Canis lupus familiaris: one gene and its partner. The protein of the gene in region 2 interacts with the protein of the main gene of each other region in a pairwise test. Links are inferred from orthologs where the notes say so. Each region holds a gene or a part of one and is shown on either strand. Other genes may lie near its edges.

What was found.
Region 1: the proteins of FLT1 (region 2) and SHC2 interact in a two-hybrid assay, tested with the Homo sapiens proteins (2 studies listed by BioGRID). The link is inferred for Canis lupus familiaris from reciprocal best matches to the Homo sapiens genes FLT1 and SHC2.

What each region holds. Positions count from the first base shown.
Region 1 is NC_049241.1:58,492,721-58,502,435, forward strand, and holds part of SHC2 (SHC-transforming protein 2), read left to right. Parts: intron 1-734; coding exon 735-788; intron 789-944; coding exon 945-996; intron 997-1,075; coding exon 1,076-1,202; intron 1,203-1,951; coding exon 1,952-2,105; intron 2,106-2,690; coding exon 2,691-2,754; intron 2,755-2,983; coding exon 2,984-3,136; intron 3,137-4,701; coding exon 4,702-4,845; intron 4,846-6,401; coding exon 6,402-6,712; intron 6,713-8,755; coding exon 8,756-8,884; 3' UTR 8,885-8,889; intron 8,890-9,715. UniProt on the Homo sapiens protein: Signaling adapter that couples activated growth factor receptors to signaling pathway in neurons. Involved in the signal transduction pathways of neurotrophin-activated Trk receptors in cortical neurons.
Region 2 is NC_049246.1:11,460,805-11,470,519, reverse strand, and holds the end of FLT1 (vascular endothelial growth factor receptor 1), read right to left. Parts: intron 8,398-9,715; coding exon 8,303-8,397; intron 4,860-8,302; coding exon 4,661-4,859; 3' UTR 1,794-4,660; downstream 1-1,793. UniProt on the Homo sapiens protein: Tyrosine-protein kinase that acts as a cell-surface receptor for VEGFA, VEGFB and PGF, and plays an essential role in the development of embryonic vasculature, the regulation of angiogenesis, cell survival, cell migration, macrophage function, chemotaxis, and cancer cell invasion.

The DNA of each region.
Region 1 (9,715 bases), on a different chromosome or scaffold from region 2:
TGTGGCTGTGAGGGTGCAAAGGAGGGAGCCCGTGCGGGGGCCTCAGCTGCTGTGTGGTTCGTGCAGCAACGGGTCCACTCAGGGGCTGGCGAATGGTGCAGGCACACAAATGACCTTGGAAACGAGTGTGCAAATGTGCACACCAAGCAAGCCTGCAATGAGTGAATATGTGTGTGAGCGCACAAATGCAAATGAGCAAGTGAATAAATGAGCATGCAAATGAGCAAGTGAATAAATGAGCATGCAAGTGAGCAAATGAATATAAATGAGCATGCAAACGAGCACACGGGGCGGTGTGCAGACTGGGGCCTCTGGCAGGTCTCACCCCTGCATGGCTGCACTGGGTGTGCCAGGTGAGTGTGCCACACCTCAGTGTCCGTGTGAGTGGACATGAGGGCCGAAGCGTGATGTGCCAGGGTGTGAAGACGGGCTCGAGTGTCTGAGGGTCGGTGGGACTGATTGTGTCTCTGGGCATTCAATGTGGGAGGCCCTGTGTGTGGGAGGGTGAGTCTGAGTGTGAGACCCTGTGTGTGTGTGTCCGGGCCTTGGGAGTGTGCATGTGTGAGTCTGGCTGCTGCCTCCGCACTCGGCCCGGGAGGGGGCTCCCCACCCCGGCGCCCTCCTGGTCCCCGGTGCCCACTACCCACCCCGTCCTCCCTGGGCCCTCCCTGCGGCCCCGGCCTAGTGAACAGTTGAGCCCGGCCCCGTGACTGCGCGTGTCTCTCTCTGGCCAGATCATTGCCAACCACCACATGCAGTCCATCTCCTTCGCGTCAGGCGGCGACACGGTAAGGCTGGGGCCGGGGGGGTGGACTTCTGGTTCCCTGTGTCCCCTGCAGCCTTGAGACCCTCTGCTCCCGCGGAGCTAGGCGAGGAGGCCCGCAGCCCGGGCAGGCTGGCGGAGGGGGTCTGACTGACCCCTGTCACCCGTCCTCTCTCCCCAGGACATGACGGACTATGTGGCCTACGTAGCCAAGGATCCCATCAACCAGAGAGGTGAGGGTGGGCGGGGCGGGCCGGGCAGGGTGTGCCAGCCGGCACGGCCACACCAATGCCGCGTGACCGCCATCCGCAGCCTGCCACATCCTGGAGTGCTGCGAGGGCCTCGCCCAGAGCATCATCAGCACCGTGGGCCAGGCCTTCGAGCTGCGCTTCAAGCAGTACCTGCACAGCCCGCCCAGGGTGGCGGTGCCCCCGGAGAGGTACCAGCCCGCCCCCCCCGCTCCCCGCGCTCACCTCCGCCCTGGCTCTCAGCCACCGTCCTGTTCCCACACCTGTTAACCCAGATGAAAACCCGAACCCTAACCCCCCCCCGCCCTCCCCCTGCCCGGCTGAGGCGAGGATCCAGGGCCCGTCGCGGCGGCTGTCATCTCCAGTCTGCACGGGGGTGGCCAGCGTGTCTGTGAAGGGCCCACAGTCAATGTTTTCGGCGTCGTGGGCCAGACCACCTGTCTCGGCCGCGTGGCAAGAGCAGCCGTGGGGGCTGCTAGCGCTCGGTGGGCCCCAGGCCAGCCAGCCTTTATTTATAGACGCTAAATCTCAAATTTCATGTCACTTTTCCGCGTCACCAGACATCGTTCTCTGGACGTTCTCTGAATCGTTTCAAAGTTCTGTGGCTGAAAAGCGTAGAAAGCACCTGCAGCTGCAGGGCAGGGGCCGGGTCGTACCTCAGCGGGCAGAAGGAGACCCCGTATGGAGTGTTAGGAATTCACACGTGCGTGACAAGGCACAGGAAGGGTTTGCAGAGAGAGCCGGGGCCCCGAGTCCCCTCCGCTCTGCCCGGCAGCCGCCTGCCCGTCCCGTGCCACCTGCACACCCGCCTCCTGGCTGGGGCCCCCAGCCCGGCTCGTCCCGCTCCCCTGTGCAAGGCTCAGGCCACAGGCCCTTGGCCCCCCCAACCCTCCCTCCCGGCCCTGAGCGCGGAGCCTCCTGTGCTTGTGTGTGTGTGCAGGCTCACCAGGCCCGAGGAGTCGGCCTGGGGCGACGAGGACGAAGCGGACCACAATTACTACAACAGCATCCCGGGGAAGGAGCCACCCCCGGGCGGGCTGGTGGACTCCAGGCTCGCCCTGGCTCAGCCCGGTGCCCTCGGGGCCCTCGGCCAGGTCAGCCCCGTGGGCCCCCTGGGGGCGGGGTCTGCCAGGGTGGTCCTTGGGCCCCCAGCTTCTTCTGCTCCCTTCCCCGTGATCCTAATGGAGGGTCCCTGCCTCCCCCACTTCCTTCCCCAAATCGCACAGATGCGTCTGGCTCCACGGCCGATCCGCGGTCACGACTCCCCGCTCCAGACGCTCGGGTGATTGTGTCAGAGGTTTAATCGGGGCCGTGAGCTGAGCTCCCAGGGGTGGTCTCAAGAGTCCACAACAGGGAGACTGACCCTGTGGCCGGGAAAGCAGTGTCTGGGCTGGGCTCCGGCGGGTGAATAGGAGTTGCCTGGGCGAGCAGTGCAGGGAAGGGCACCCCAGCGGAGGGAACAGCGTGTGGCAGGAGCCGAGCGGGCAGCTGAGGCTGCAGCGGAGGCGAGTGGACAGATGGACAGACGAGGGCAGTTGCAGAGCCAGGGGCTGGGCAGCGTTGAGAGGCCTTGGAGCTGCCCTTCGCGTCTGACTTTTGTCTCCAGCCCTGCGGGGGGCGGGGCGCCGGGCTGGGCAGGGGGCTTGCACCTGCAGGAGGACCCCCGCTCTCTGTTTCAGGGGGCAGCTCCTGCTCGACGGGACGCCCGCAGCCTGCCATGGGACCTGGGCCCGTCAGGTGCTGGTAGGTGCCCCGGGGGCTCAGCTGTGGGCCCCTCCTCTTCCACCCGTGACCCGGTGCTTGCTCCCCAGGCTCCAGACTCGTTGCTTTGCTTTTTGGGGGGAGCGATACTGCATTCCCGTGGTTCAAAATGCCAGCGCGTAGGAAGGCGTTCAGCGACAAGTCCCGTCTGCCCGTCCACGTCCGGTCGGGCCACCACTGTCGTCGTTGCTAGCGTGCGTTACTTTTCCAGATTTTTCCATGTGTAGTCAAGCCAATTCAGTGCGTACATCGTCCGGCTCGCTCCTGCAGATGGTGCATCGTGTGCACACTCCCACCGTGCGTTCGCCACACGGCCGACCCCGCACCGGGGCCCGGAGAAAGCGTGCAGTTGCCCTCCCGTCAGGTGTTTTTTAACAAAATGATTCCGTTTTCAGCCCGTGAGCATTTTATCCTGTGACTCATCATTCAAAACGACACGAGGCTAGAATCCGCCTTGGGCCCGGCTCCCCTCTGGGACCTCACCTCCCCCGCGCCCCCCCCCCCCCCCCCCCCCCCCCCCCCGCCACTCTTGATGGGCTCAGAGCCTCCGTGCTGAGCGAGCCGAGGCCGCCCTCCCAGGTGGCCGTGCCAGGCGCCTCGCCCACCCGCCTGCTGCGGCCGCCTGTTCCCTCCAGCCTCTACAACACCTGCGCTGCGTTTGCTGCTATTTTCGATCTTCCCGAATCATCTGGGCATTTCGCTGCCACGCGTCAGAACCCTCCCTGACTCCCAGCGCCGTGGTTAAAGAGCCCTTCTGTCACTGGGCAGCCACCGGGGCCCTGGTGCTGGGCCCACGGCCCCGTGTCACTCCTGAGTCCCGGGGCTCCCCAGCATCTCCCGGCCGGAGCCTCTGTGAACTGCTCTTCCCCGCTCTAGCCAACGACGCCGGCGACACGCTCCCACCCCAGCTCCCACGGCCTGGGATTCTCCGTCTGGACGCCTGCCGCCCGGGGTTCGTCCCTGTTACGCGGCCCCGGCCCCGAAAGGCTGGGGGACTGGCCATCCTCCGGGTGGGCCCAGGCTGACACTCCTGTTGAGCCAGAACCCCTGCCGGATACCGTCCTGCAGGCTTAATGCCCCTGCTTGTAAAGGGGCAGCTCCGATTCTCCCCGTGTCACAGAGCACGGGACTGGGCACGAGAGGTCCGCTCACGTGCCCGTGTCCATGGATGGCAGGTGGAGCCGGCCTGTGAGCTCCCAAGTCCACGGGGAAGGACGAGGTGGGCATAGCAGGGACATTGCAAACTGTGTATTGGAATCATCGCTTCTGTGCCGGGACTACAAGTGGTGACGTTCAGAGATCCACAGACAGTTCTGGAAAAACACACACGAGTTAACTTTGAACCTTGCAAAGAGGCTCAGCCTTGCTCAAAATAAGGGAAACGGGAGCTAATGTCCTCGTGGGGCCACGTCTCACCTCTCAGCCCCGCAGACACCCGGCACCTGCTCGGACGCCGCGGGGAGCGCCGGGGAACCGGGCACAGGTGGCCCGGTCGGGACCCCGCAGAAGCTGGGGTGCTGAGTGGACCCGAGGGACAAATCCCTCCAGGGATGACTTTTCCTGCGGGGGAGGCTTTTGAAGCACAGAAATGCTTCACACGCTCACAATTAACGTTCAAGAGAACAGGAAGGAACTCCTAAAATAGAACAGAAACGAGTGACCATGCGTCACGTGGGTGACGTGGATGACACAGTTACGGGCGGAGCAGTGTCATTGTTATTTTTCAGACGTGGGCGTTTCACACTCACGTAGGGATTCCTGCCGCCGGGCTGCCTGGGGGCAGCGGCCCCACTGATGTGGTGCCCAGCTGCCCCGCAGCCCCTGGGGACATGGCGGGGTGGTCAGCCAGAGGGTGCTGCACGGCGTCTTTCCCGGGGGCGCCGGGCGTGGGTGGCCCCCGCTGACCCCGCCGCTCTCCTGTGTTCGCAGGCCCACCGGGGGACGGCTACGTGCAGGCCGACGCCAGGGGCCCCAGAGACTACGAGGACCACCTGTACGTCAACACGCAGGGTCTGGATGCCCCGGAGCTCCCGCAGGCAGAGGACAGCCCCAAGAAGGATCTGTTTGACATGCGTACGTGGGGGGGCCCAGCCTGCTGCCCCTTGGGGCTTGGCAAGCTGGTGAGGGTGGCGTGGGGACGAGTGCTTCCTCTGGGACTCCCGGTCTGATGGTGGAGGCTCCGGGGCCCCCCTTCCTGGGACTCTGCAGTCTCTTAGGGGGTAAGCGAGTTTCCTCTCTAGTTTAAGGGGAGGGCGCTCTTCTCTATGAGACTCCCCCCTCTCCTGGGGGACTGGGCTCCTTCCCCCTGCCGGCCCCCCGCCCCCCGTCTGATGAGGGGCTTTAGCTGGCTCCTCCCTGGTTGGAGGACCTGGGCCCTAACCCTCCCACTGGGCTTGTCTCATGGAGGAGGCTTGCGTCCAGGGCACCCTCCTGATCCAACCACGCTGTCCTGTTCCGCCAGCGCGTCGGGGTCTTGGCCCGTGAGGGGTCGTTTCCCTACCTCAGACACCCCCTAGTGGGAGATACCCCGGATCCACCCAAGCCAGCTGGGAATTTTGGGCTTCACCGAGTCTGCAGAGCACCCCCAGCCCAACAGCCCAGAGTCTTAGCACCAGCCGACCCGAGCTGTCCCTGCAGCAGCTGCCGCTGGCTCCTCACAGCCACCCTCATGCTGGCCGTCCCCTGGGGGTGACCAGATGGCCCAGCGACCCCGGCCAGGCTTCCCTTGAGAATTCTGGGCCGCCCCGGGCCGGCGGGTGGCAGGCTGAGGAGGACACGTGGCTTGGCCAGGCCCGGTCCCGGGTCCTGGCGGCCAGATGTCCAGCTGCACTTGGACCACAGGATTCCCAAGGGGCAGGGGGTGGCAGGGCTGTAGGGGCCCCGGGGACAGCTGCTCGGGGCCGGTCGCTGGGGCGTCGGGGAGCCTGACCTGTGCGGCCCTGCGTCCCACTTACGGCAAGGAGACCGACAGAGGGCGAGCGGCACGTCCGGGTGACACGTCCAGGTGATGCTGGCGCCTGGTGGGAGCCTCAGGAAGCCCCTGGGGACCCGCAGGGGCCCCCGGGTCTGTAGGAGGCAGGCGTGCACGGCTGGTGCGGGGGCTGCATGTGACAGGGGCTGCACGACACGGGTGCCACAGACACTGGGCAGGAGGCCGCAGGGACGAGACAAGAAAAAGAAGTGTGTGTGCACGTTGTCGTCGCCTATATGTGCCGCTCAACTACCAGGACCCGACAGCGGTGAAGAAGAGCGGTGCACGGTTGGCGCCACACAGCAGGCAGGCAGAGCACAGGCACACAGCACGCAGTGCACACTCACCACACACACCCACAAGTGGACACTCAGCACACACACCACCACACACCCACTCAGCAACGCTCCCACACAGTGCACACTCAGCACACACCTGCTCAACACAATGCACACACCCACTCAGCACACACTCCCACACAGTGCACACTCAGCACACACACCCACTCAGCACCCCCAGGTGCACACTCAGCACACACCCAGTGAGGGCCTGCGGGCTCAGTGCGAGGTCCCCAGCGCAGACCCCTCCCCCTCCAGCCCTGCCCCCAGGGGGCAGCTGCCCGCCCCTGACTCCAGCTTGTCCTCGTCCTCGCCCGCAGGACCCTTCGAGGATGCTCTGAAGCTGCACGAGTGCTCTGCGGGGGCGGGCACGGCGGTGGCGCCCCTTCCCGTGGAGGATCAGTGGCCCAGCCCCCCCACCCGCCGGGCGCCCATCGCCCCCACGGAGGAGCAGCTGCGGCAGGAACCCTGGTACCATGGCCAGATGAGCCGGAGGGCGGCAGAGAAGCTGCTCCGAGCCGACGGGGACTTCCTGGTGCGCGACAGCGTCACTAACCCCGGGCAGTACGTCCTCACGGGCATGCACGCGGGGCAGCCCAAGCACCTGCTGCTGGTGGACCCAGAGGGCGTGGTAAGGGGCGGGGCACCGGGCGGGGGCGTGGCCAGAGCGGGCGGGGCGTGGCCAGAGCGGGCGGGGCGTGGTCAGGGCGGACGGGGCGTGGCCAGAGCGGGCGGGGCGTGGTCAGGGCGGGCGGGGCGGGGCCAGAGCGGGCGGGGCGGGGCCAGAGCGGGCGTCCACCTCCGCCTATAGGTTCAGGAAAGTCTGTCCCGGATTACAAAGCCGGCTGTTGACGGATTCTGTCCCGTTTACTAGGTAACTTAGAATTACACAGTATTTCCCACTTTGTCAAGAATTTTGGAATCTATAAAGGAGTTCCCAAGTCAATACAGCATTTTGCGGGTTACAAAACCTTTTCCAATTTCAGGGCCTTTCAGGGTTTACAAAGGACTATATCTGATGCCCTTTCCCCACCGTCTATAATCAGTGTGCATCCTACAAATAATGGTGCCTTGGATAAATATGACGTTTTCTTTTCTAGTGTATTTTAAGGCTCAGAAAGCATGTTTCAATTTACGGGGAGTTCTAGGCTCTACAAGTTGCTAGATGCACACTTTCCCCTTGTTTTGACGTCTTTGAAGCCTGTGGCTTTTTTTTTTTCTGTGTGGGTTTGTTTGTTTGTTTTTTGTTTTTTTAGCCTGTGTGTTTTTAACCCCGTCCTTGAACTGCATGATTCTTTCACTGTGGGTCCCCCCCCTCCTCGTGGTAGATGAAATCGTGCCGCACCTGACCGCTGCTTTGAGTCAATTTGACCTTTGGTATTGTACAGCTCCTAAAGCATTTCGGGGTTTACAAAGCATTTTTCAATTTGCAAGGAGTTCTAGGGTTTATGCCGCGTTTCCCAGCGTCCAAGAAGGGCCTTGGGGTTCACAGCTATTTCCCAGGGGAAGGAGCTTGGGGGTGTTAGAGTCTTGCCAGAGTTTACCAAGTGCTATACTGCCTCCAGCTGAGTCCCCAGAACCGCCCCCGGGGAGCTTGGTATGTTCTCCGTCTCCGTGTAGGTCACTGTCCGGTGGTGAGGTGGGGGGCCTGGCCTGGGGTGGGGGGCTGTTCTTTCCGTTCCCCTTGTGTCTGGCTCAGAGCTGTAATCTCTGGCCTGGCCTGTGAGGTCAGTACCCCCTGGACCCCCATTCCCTCTCTGCTAAGGGATCTACAGGACAGGACTGGCAATTCCTAAAGCTCCAGAAGCTTCAGAACTTCAAGTTCTTTGTCCCAGTTCCAAAGAAGTATAGGGTTTTGCCACGGGGCCCAGGAACGTGCGTTTGAAGCCTGCTCTCCAGAGTCTTGTGTCCACTGAGCTCGCCTTGTCCAGGGACTAGCCGGCAGCGGGGCCAGCGGGCTACCGGCTCTGGTGCATCCAGTTGTAGCATGTGGTGGTGCTAAGATTTTCTCGTTTCGAGATGCAGCAGATTGTTTTCTGTTAGGCGTCCCCGAGATTTCCTAGGGCTGCCCTGCCGAGTGACGGCCAACTAAGTGGTGTAAACGTCAGGAGAGTGTTGTTCCCCAGCTCTGGAGGCCGCAGGGTGGAGAGGCCGGTGCTGTAGGGCTGGCTCCTGCTGGGGCTCCCACAGAGGGCCCCATCCAGGCTCTCCTGGCCCCCGAGGTGCAGGCAGCCCTTGGTGTCCCTGGGCTGTTGACGTGCCCCTCTGGTCACTGCTGTGCCTGCTCTTACAAGGGCACCAGTCGCTGGCTTTGGGGCCTCCAGGAGGAGCTCACCACAGGACTCTTCACTTAGTCACCTCTACAAAGACGCTTTTTCCAAATAAGGTCGCATCCACAGGTGTCAGGGTTTGGGGCAGACATGTCTTTTTGGGGCCTCCATTCAACTTGGGCAGGAAGTGTGGCCCCCGCATCCTGTGCTTTCAGAGCCTGTGTCCCTATCTAACTCTGGAATTCTGAGTCTGACTCTGGTTGAACCGGAAGCTTCTGGGCTGGCGGTTCTGACTCGAGCCTGCATCAGACCCTCGGGGCGGGCCCTCGGGAGGCAGATTCCCCGTCAGCAGGCTCGCCTACAAGCTCCCAGCGGTGCTGATGCCGAGGCCTCTGGCCCTGCAGGTGCGGACCAAGGATGTGCTCTTTGAGAGCATCAGCCACCTCATCGACTACCACCTGCAGAACGGGCAGCCCATCGTGGCCGCCGAAAGCGAGCTGCATCTGCGCGGGGTGGTCAAACGTGAGCCCTGAGCCAGGTGTGTGGTCGGCCCGCGCGCTCCCAGCGTTCACCCGTTCACCCGGTTCCTTTCGCATTTAAAAAATTAAGCAGGAATTCACAAACTACTCAATCCACCCATTTAAAATGTGCCACTCAGTGGTTTTTAGCGTGTTTAGAGATGCACAATCATCCTCTACCTAATTCCAGAACATTCCATTGCCCCAAAAGGAAATCCTGTCCCCGTTAACCATCAGCCCTCAGCCCCCCAACCCCCTTCCCCTCCCCCGGCCTTCCCAACCCCTCCCCGTGTATGGACGAGCCCGTCCTGGACGTGTCACACTCGTGGACTCGCACCCCGGGGGCCTCCTGTGTCTGGTTCCCTCTCTGAGCGTCGTGGGCTTGGGGTCGGTCCCCGGGGCAGGGCATAAGGGCACCTCGCTCCTGCTCAGGCCTGGTGATGTGCCTGCACGTGCGTGGACACGTGTTTACCTGTTCACTCCCATGGGCATCTGGCTGTTTCCACTTTTTGGCTGTTACGATAATGCCACTCAGAACATGCACGTCCAGGTTTCTGTGTGGACGTGAGTTTTCCTTGCTCCTGGGTCTGTACCTGCCGGTGGAGTTGCTGAGGTGGTGACTCCGTGTTGAACTGCTGATAAGAAATCTCGGGAGGAGGTGGAGCTGCGCTGGAGGAGGGGCTAGTGTGGATGTTCGCGAAGACGTTGGGGGACATGAGAGGGGCACCTCGGCTTTTTGCTTTTGTTGCTGGGGAGCCGTGGGAGAGTTTTGAGCTGAGGAGGAGTAGGCAGGTCTGGGTGATTCCAGCACCTTGTTGGTGAGAGACTGCGGCCTCTGGGGGAGGT
Region 2 (9,715 bases):
CGTATTTGTATGATCTAGTGAGAAAGGGACACATTGAGGGTGACGAGGAAATGCTGAATTTCTGGAGCTGTGTCCCTGCATATAGGAAGGAGTCCAGCTGCATCAGAGCATGTTTTGAATTGGCCATGCAGAAGAGAAAGCAGAGTATGTGAGTATAGATGCCAGCAGGTGAGTAGATGTGATGGTGAGATTTTGAAGTTCTCTTGATTACTTCAATCTTCCCATTGATGTGGGTATAACTTATGATACAAGTTATAAAACACTTAGCTGTTGATGCATGAGATTAACCTATTTTTGTCTGAGATTAAGTCCTTACTCTTTTTAAAATGGGTCTTCTGTGAAAAGTGATATTAAATGGGTTTTTTCGGGATCCCTGGTGGCGCAGCGGTTTGGCGCCTGCCTTTGGCCCAGGGCGCGATCCTGGAGACCCGGGATCGAATCCCACGTCAGGCTCCCGGTGCATGGAGCCTGCTTCTCCCTCTGCCTGTGTCTCTGCCTCATTCTCTCTCTCTCTCTGTGACTATCACAAATAAATAAAAAATTTTAAAAAAATTAAAAAAAAATAAATGGATTTTTTCTTTTAATCTTTTATTGAAGAATAGCACACACACGTTTGCAAATAAGTATATAGCTCCATAAATTATCACAAACACACCTATGTACCACACCCAGATCAAGAAGGAGAACATTTGTGGCCTCTAGTTGTTTTTGTTTTGTTTTGTTTCTCCCCTAAAATATCCTTAGTTCAGAAAATAGAAAGCTAGTCATCCATGTGTTTAGATCAAGGATATTTTTGTAAAACTTACTGGCCTGTGAAACCCAAAAGTCTGGTAATATGTTTAACATTGAGGAGTCTAATAAGCCTTACTGGGCCATCCTGCTAGAAGAAAGAAAGAAAGAAACAATTCCCAAATGTCCTATAAGTTTCCAGAGTCATGAGAAAATTTCTAAACCATGACGGGACACCAATTCCTCGAGCATTCTTCGAGCATTCTTCAAATCATGTGCTTCATGAGTGACTTTACTCTTATGCTATGAACACCAACAATTTTTTAAAAGGATTTCAGATTCATGAAGATAAAATGCCTCGTGCCCTCTTCAGTTAACCACAAATTTACCGAGAGGAGTCATTTTTCCTTTTTCTTGCCGCTGTCCCAAAGAAAGGAGGCCTGATTTCCCTTACAACATGTCTCCAATCTAGTTTCCTCATGATGTTTTTAGGAAGGTGACTTTCCAAGACAATGTGCTGGTCACCTATTCTATTAGTGATGATCTGAATTATTTCTCTTTTTAAGATGTCATCCACCAAAACAAAAATGAAGAGTATGTGGCTGGTGTACTTTTCTTAGGGAAGCCCTTGTGTCTTATAGGCTTTTGTCTAATTATTTTGTATGGTTTCCTGTATACCACCTCTAATACACACATATCCTGTAATTAAGGTAATAGTTTCTTAGCTGAATATTAGTGTTTGGGAAAACTTGCCTCTTTTTTTAATCACTTGCACTTGCACTCGGTCTGTACATTTTGCCTGTGATTGTGTTCATTTTAGTGTTTCATTTTCTGGGTGATGTGCCTTGTGTGATTTTGGTTTTCATTTACCGATGGTTGAGAGCAACCATCTTGTGGCCCTAAAAGACAGCTCTTTGCCCCTCTTTTCAGAGTCCTTGCTTGATTCTTCTTGTGCTGTGTTTCATAATTGGTATTTAATGAGATCCCCCAGAATACCAGTCCTCCACCCTCAAGGAAACCTGTGACCCCCTTTATTCCTGTATAAGCAAATTGGAGAAAATATGTAGATGTTTTTAGAAGTTAATTTTATTATATGAAGATAGCATACAAAATACATTCATAGTGACTAGAGATGTAGGACAAAATTAAGTCTTACTTAATATCTGCAGCATATATTCTTGGTATGTATAAAAGTAATTTTTTAAATTTCCAGTTTCCTTAAATAGTTACGCACAAAACACACACACGTATATACACATACACTGTCAGTCAAAGATGCGCTCTTCCTTTCACCCACTAAAAGGGGCTGGCAAGTATCTGTTTCATGTTTGACATTCTTACAGGCTGGGAAACAAGGCACGGTTAGGAGATCTACATACCATTTTTCAGGATTTAGACACATTTCTTCCATGGGCTAAAACTAAGGTCTACGCATCGTTTCTTAGACTAACTGGATACAGACTTGCATGAGGTTTCAGTCCCATTCCACCCACACTGTTACACATACAGGTTCTCCCAAATCCTGAAAGGAAATGCTGCCTTGCTTGTTAGTGCCAACTATTTGTATCACAAGTGACAAATGGTTCTAATAATATCAGTTAATTAGTGTTTTAATTTTCAGTGCTTTTTAATGTCCAGTGCTGGTTAATGAACCATTCTGGCAAGCATGTCACAAAGATTCATTATTGCAAGCTTCCATTCTTTTTTCTGTGCTAAGACTCTAGATGGGACCGTTTTTGACTGATGGGCTCAACCTGAGTCTTTGAAGCAGCCAAATTAACATAGTTCTAATACATTTTGGGGGGGGGGGGGAGACAGTATTACTGAGGTCCCTGAATAATTAAGAATTAGATTATTGAAATTGAGATACTGTATGTAGAGTTAAGGTGTTCATTTTCACTAATTGCTGGATCTTTTTCTGATTTGGAAAAAACAAAATAACTAATTAAAGTCTTTTTAAATTGTCCCTGTTGAACCTCCTCTGGTTACCTGACTGATACTGTTGCCAGCTATCACAGGTGCTTTTGTGCATGCAAGGAAGAAGAACAAAGCTCATCCCCTCTTCTAGCCCCTGGCCTGATTTTGTTTGCGCTGGGCTCTTGGTGGGGAGGCCTGCCTCACTTCTCTGCTGGCCAGAGGCTTCTCCAGCAGAGCCACCACTGGAGCATCCGGTACCTCACTTGGGGTGTTGCTTACTGTCCCATCTTTTTATACTAAGAATCTTGAACCAAGAATGTGATACACAGAGTAGGAAGCAAAGATTCTTCTATTATATTTCAGGTTCTAGAGATAAGTTACTTGCATAAAGGGAAGTGTACTCTTCTCTATAACCAGAAGCAGCAATTCACTGTTGCCTGTCCAGCCTTGACTGGCTTTAGAAGGTGCATACATCCTAAACACATAGCATCAAACAGAGCCAATTGAGAGATCCAGGGTCTTTAAACCCTGAAGAGTAGGCACCCTTTTGTACCCTGTCTCCCTATTTCCATCATTCTCAGACCCAAGACAAGGTCCAAAGTAGATGAAAAGAGGCTTTTCTCCTATTGATGGCTCATTAACTAATATCCTGAGTCCCAATTCTGAAAGTATCTTGCATAAATTACATATCACCTTTTTTTCTCAAGGAGCATAAAGTGCTTAATAAACATTGGTTAATGCTCTTCCCCATCTTTCCAGTGGACTAGGGTGAGATAGTAGAATCCCCATTAAAAAGGAAACATGATTGACTTCCTGTCCTTTGGGTCCCAACTGTTTCAGTGAGTTGGTTTGGTTGGTATCGAGATGGGGTTTTCACTCTGTTCATCCTATTTTTGCTCCATCTATTCTGGTTTTGGTATAGAGGAAACCCTCCACAAGACTCATTTTCATCCTCCTCAGCTTCCTTTTATAACTAACTATATAAAACAGGTTAATGTAAAAAAATTGAAGTGTCTTGGTTATACATTTTAAGACTCAAAATAGAATCTGACAATATTTTTGGAAATGTGGCTTAAAGCCCGACAAGTAACCCTAACAAACCAAACTCATTCCAATTAGGTTGCTCTGAGCAGTCAGCTAAGTGTGAGGCCATCATGCCATGGAGCCAACTTAGCTCAGGGTGAGTTTGCAGTGTGTCTTGCTAGAGGGGCCTGCAGTCTCAGCTCAGATTTGAGCACGAAGCTCCATGCTAGAAATTTCAAAATGTGCCATAAATGGGAATGGGCATAGGTCCAATCCCATAGCTAACATTTTACAATTTGTTTCATAGTTCCAAAAAAAATGTGTTTGTCCTTTTATTGCCTGCTGGAGTCCGGAAATGTCCCCTCATCCTTCTGTCCTGTCTGCTCCCTGGCTGGGTTCTCCATGTGGACCAGGTTTGGTCAGGGTTTGGAAGCCACAGCAGTGTCATGGCTGACAGCCCTCTCCTACTCCCTTCCCATATGGGACAGCACAAAAATTCTTTGTCCTGTTTGATCTCTTCTTTCTTTCTCCCTTCTTTCCTTCTCCTCTTTGCCATCACATCTGCTAGAGGACCCCAGAGACATCATGTAGGTCAGCTTAGGACTCGTCTCCTGGTTCCAGGGTGCCGGTGGCTGACCCTGTGGAATCCATACTGCATTGCATGATCAATGCACCTCCTGAATCGTCAAATGCCCTGTGGTCTCGGGGTAGGAGCAGGTAAGTCATTGGGCTTAGAAAGGGTTTCTCTAACACACTGAATAATGTGAAGATTTACTAGTGGTGTTTTTCACTTGTCACTATTACTCTATCTGGGGTTACATTCTTGTTAGTCAAAAAGAAAAAAAAAAAAGCACTATTAAAAATCATAAAAGTCAGCTTGCTCCTGTGGAAAGGTAAAGGTGTAAATTTATATGTGTCATACTGGCAAAAGCTAGTTTTCAGGGAGCATAAATACTTGTGTGGTTCTAGAAATAAGGCGACGTGTCAAACTTTAGACAGGCGGGGTGGAGTATAAGACCACCGAGTTGTAGTCTGGGGGAGGCGAGCAGCACGAAATCTTCTTTTCCAGCTCTGAGTTGTCATATGTAAATCTGCGCCTGCCTCTGTTGATGTGCCCACACCTGGAATGGCAGAAAGGCCGTGTGAGGTCAGAAAGCCCCGACTCCTTACTTTTACTGGTTACTCGCAAGCTAAAGAAAGAAAAGAAAAAAAAAATATACAAAATTGATGAAAACAATTGAAAACAAACACTAACCTCCACTCTTTTCCGTCAGGTCATTTGCTCATAACTGTTCTAGAGTTAACGGCTATTGAATCCCATCTCAACCTCCGATCAGAGTCTCTTTGTTCTAGAGCTGCACACTGCTTCTCTACTACCAGCTTGGTGGCACCAGGCAGACAGATGCCTTCCTCTGGCTGGGGGGTGGATTGTGTGAAGAGAGAACTGCAGATCCATAATCCCAGGTCGAGAATAGCTCCCAGGCCGGTATGGCCCTCCCCTGCACTTGGGCCAGCCAGCTACTGTGGTAGGCTGAACAATGCTCCTGCCTCCAAAATAAATTGATCTCAAATCCCTGGAACCTGTGAAGAGCACTTTGTGTTCTAGAGACTGAATATTACCTCATGTGGCAAGACAGGTGATTAAGCTAAGGATCTTCAGAGGAGGAACTGAGTTTGAGTTACCCAGGTAGGCCTTAAATACAAACACATGCATCCTTATAAGAGATGCAGAGAGAGCATCACAGCCACACGCAGAAGGTAGTGGTTGGAGGTAGAGTAGGGAGACATGGCCACAAGCCAAGGGATGCTGAGAGACGTCAGGGGCCAGAGGAGGGGAGGAATGGATTCTCCTCAGAGCCTCCAGAGGAATCTTGGCCCTGCCAACACCTTGATTTCAGACTTCTGGCCTCTAGAACTGCAAGAGAATACACTTCTCTTGGTTTAAGCCACCAACTTTGTGGTAATGTGTTACAACAGCCTCAAGAAATGAATAGAGCTTCAGGCAAACAGGTTAGTACCATTGTCTCCCTGTCATGTTTGTGTCCTAGAAAATTTAGGTTATGGGATGGTCACTACTAAGCAAGGCTCACAGGAGAAGAAGCTTGCTTCTGGTTCTGTGTGTCTCATACAGCCTGAAACAGATACACAAGAAAGAAAAGCTTCTCTTGTCCGTTTGTATTTGTTTATTAATAGCTGGGATGAGCTGAGTGAAGTAAGTCAGTCGGAGAAGGACAAACATTATATGTTCTCATTCATTTGGGGAATATAAATAATAGTGAAAGGGAATATAAGGGAAGGGAGAAGAAATGTGTGGGAAATATCAGAAAGGGAGACAGAACGTAAAGACTGCTAACTCTGGGAAACGAACTAGGGGTGGTAGAAGGGGAGGAGGGCGGGGGGTGGGAGTGAATGGGTGACGGGCACTGGGGGTTATTCTGTATGTTGGTAAATTGAACACCAATAAAAAATAAATTTAAAAAAATAGCTGGGATGAGAACAAGAAAACCCACACATTAATGTTGTTGTTGAGAACAAGAAAACCCACACATTAATGTGGCCACAATAATGTGCCACCACATTATTTCATTGGGTTCTGGATTAACAACATCAAGCACTTGCTGTATTTTTAATCTCAGAGTAGAGGGTGCAATTATGGTTTTCTTTCACAGAGATCTAGATAAGTATTCCAAAATAGGAAACAAAAGGTTGTCGGTAGCCTTTCTTTCCTAGCTTAGACACTTGTTCTTTGTGAGGGTCCCCTAATCTGCTACCCTACGAGGGGACTCTGCTCTGGTGCCATCACGGTGCTCATGTTAAAAGCAATCAAGTATGAAGATGTTTGCCTGGTAATGTTCTCACCTTTGGATTTACTTGTGGTTGTTAAACTATGCTGTGTCACTTAGAGGTGTTTGGGGCCATCTTTTGACTTGAATCAAGGTCAGCAAACTATAGCCTGTGGGCTGACCACCTGCTTGGTTGTTTTTTGTTGTTGTTGTTTGTTTGGTTTGAAACAGGTTTATTGAAATACAGTTCACCTGTTGAAAGTGTCCAGTTGAATGGAATGGACACATCTGTGCCATTCACAGATGGCACAAGCATCAACATAATTGATTTTAGAACATTTTCATCACCCCCCAGAACCAATACCCGTTAGCATAGCTAGCCAGTCACTCTTCCCCACACTTCCCACCACCAGCCCTAGACAACCACTGATCTACTTTGTTTCTATAGATTGGCCTATTCCTGGCATTTAATATAAAGGGAATCATTTATGCTATGTAGTCTGTTGTGACTGGCTTTGTTCACTTAAAAATGTTTTCAATGTTTATCCATATTGTAATGTGTCAGAACTTTGTAGTTTTTTATTAGCAAACATTTGTATGGGTAATACTGCATTCTATCTGCTCATCAATCGAAGGACATTTGGCTTGGTTTTACTTTGGGTTATTAATGATGCTGCTATGAACATTTGGGAATAAACTTTGGTGTGAACATAAGTTTTTGTTCTGTTGGGTATGTACTGAGGGAGTAGAATTGCTGGGTCATGGAGTAATGCTATTTAACCTTCTGAAGACCTGCTATTCTGTTTCCCAAAGTGGCTGCACCATCTTACATTGCCACAGCAACACCAAGAGCTTATGATTTCTCCACATCCTCATCAGTATTTTTGGTTCTAGCCATCCTCGTGGGTGTGAAGTGGTGTCTCGTCCTGGTTTTGATATGCATTTCCCTGACGACTAACGACCTTAAATATCATTTCATGTGCTCATTGACCATGGCCAGCTGTTTCTGTAAATAAAGTTTATTGGAACACAGCCACACCTTCTTGTTTATATATTGGTGATGGCTGCTTTTATCCTACAATGGCAAAGTTGGTTCGTTGTTTTCTGTGTGACTCATAAAAAGTCTGCTGACCTCTGATTTAGATGAAAGAGGATCACATTCTGCCTTTGGGTGAGACAGGGGCAGCATTTGAATCAGGAAAGGTAGGAATGCCCGATAGACAGGCCCAGGCTTCGCCTGGCCAGCATGATTCCTAGGTAGAGACTAGCTCAGAGGAGCTAAGGTGATAGCAGGGCCAGTGGAGCAAAAAGCTGGAGCCTAATTCCAACAGCACTTGCTGCTGGCTACCGTAGGGAGGGAGGAGTGCTTCCAACAGGAAACAGGCCTTCATTTGGAAGGGTTGGCTTCTCAGGATGGCAGATCTTAGGACTAGAAAACAGGACTGTGACAACTGCTTCCTGTACAAACACTGCCAGCCCAGGGTATAATCATGGGCCAGCTTCCCTCCCTGCCCCCATAAGCATGTCTCCATCTGTTCACAGTTGGGCACGTCAGCCTCCTTCCAGCTGAGGCACTGTACTTCATGTGTTTGGACTGCCTGTCCCTGCTGCAGTTTTCTGCCTGTTTTTACTTCTCAAATCCCAAGCTTCCTGCTCAGCACTTGGTGCTCATATCTTTGATTTTATACCCTCCTAAGGAAAAAAAAAAAAAAAGTGCTCTTCTGCAATGCCTGAGCATAGTAGTTCAGGAGGGCAAGTAGCTCTCAGATCTCCCCCATTGAGTTTAGCCTAGTATCCTTCATCACACACCCCCATCAACCGATCATAGAAAAGACCCCCAGATTCCTTACTCAATCTTCAGGGAGGCCTTGGGTTTGCTCTCAGCCCAGGTGAAGCGCTTCAGCAAGGGGGAAGCCAGCAGAGTGCTACTGTCCACTTGGTAGTCCTGATGGGGAGGAAGGAAAAAGGTTACACTTCTTGCCTGACCGACAGGGGTCCATGAATCTGGGGGATAATGCTGGGATGGTCCATGAATCTGGGGGATAATGCTGGGATGGAATAAGCTATTCACCCCAAACTCTGTCCTCACCTGCCTATTGAGACAAAGCATGTTCTCTGTATTGGCAAATCTAAATTTTATAAGTTGCAAGAAATGCCTATTATTCCCTGTGACTTTGAGGTTCTTCTTCCTGAATATACACTTACACAAAAGGGGAGGGATGCCTGGGGGGACTCAGGTCATGATTCCAGGGTCCTGGGATTGAGTTCCGCATTGGGCTCCTTGCGGCAAGCCTGGTTTTCCCTCTGCCTATGTCTCTGTCTCTGTCTCTGTCTCTCTCATGAATAAAAAAAAGAAAAAGGAGGGGGGAAACTATAGATAATGGGTGAGCATTTTTTATAGTATACTTTTGTGTCCATTATTGCATACATATACTAAAACTAATGTTGGCAGACGACTGTTGTCTGTAAGTATGCTGTTATTTGGTGACCATACAAAAGATGCAAGAATTCTGATAAATTCTAAAGACTTGGTTTAATTTTTGTTGTTGTGAATCCTTTAGAATTTTCAGGCCTATATTACTGTTTTGCAGCAATTTCATTTTCTCGTTGCTTCAGCTTTAGCATGGAATTTTATGCAGGCTCCTCCTTCCTCTGTTGATAGAACATTCCCAGTATGTGTGGACTCCACACTTTGTTCCTCCACCCTTTGCATCTCTGGGCTGTTTTCATGTCCTTACTCATCAGTAAACAAGCCTAAGCAAGCAAAGAAGCTTACCACTGTATCAGCCTGGGGAGGGTTGGTGGATAGCAATCTTCCATGTTTTGCCCAGTATCATTTCCTAGGACTTAAAACCAACTTCCTGAGCAGAAAAAAATTCAGCTACTTTACTTTTGTGTTCTGTGGGTTATTTGTAATGTTTTTAACGTTTCAATCATCTTTTCCTCTTTAGAGGTTTTGAAACGCTTTGGGGCTCTTTTAAAGATGACTGTGCTGGGTCTCAAGGTGTTTGTGATCATCAGCTTCACATTGTGTTTGGTTTTACAGCCCTTTTATGGGACATGGGCATTACCAGTGTCCTCAAACTTGACCATGCACATCAATCCCCTGGGGACCTTGTGACAGGGCAAAATGTGACTCACTGATAATGAATGGGTCTTGAGATTTGGCATTTCTAGCCTGCTTAGTGACAACGGTGTTACCTGGAGATCAGTTTGAGTGTAAGGGTCTTGATGCTGGAAGGGCACTCTTGCCCAGCCCTCCC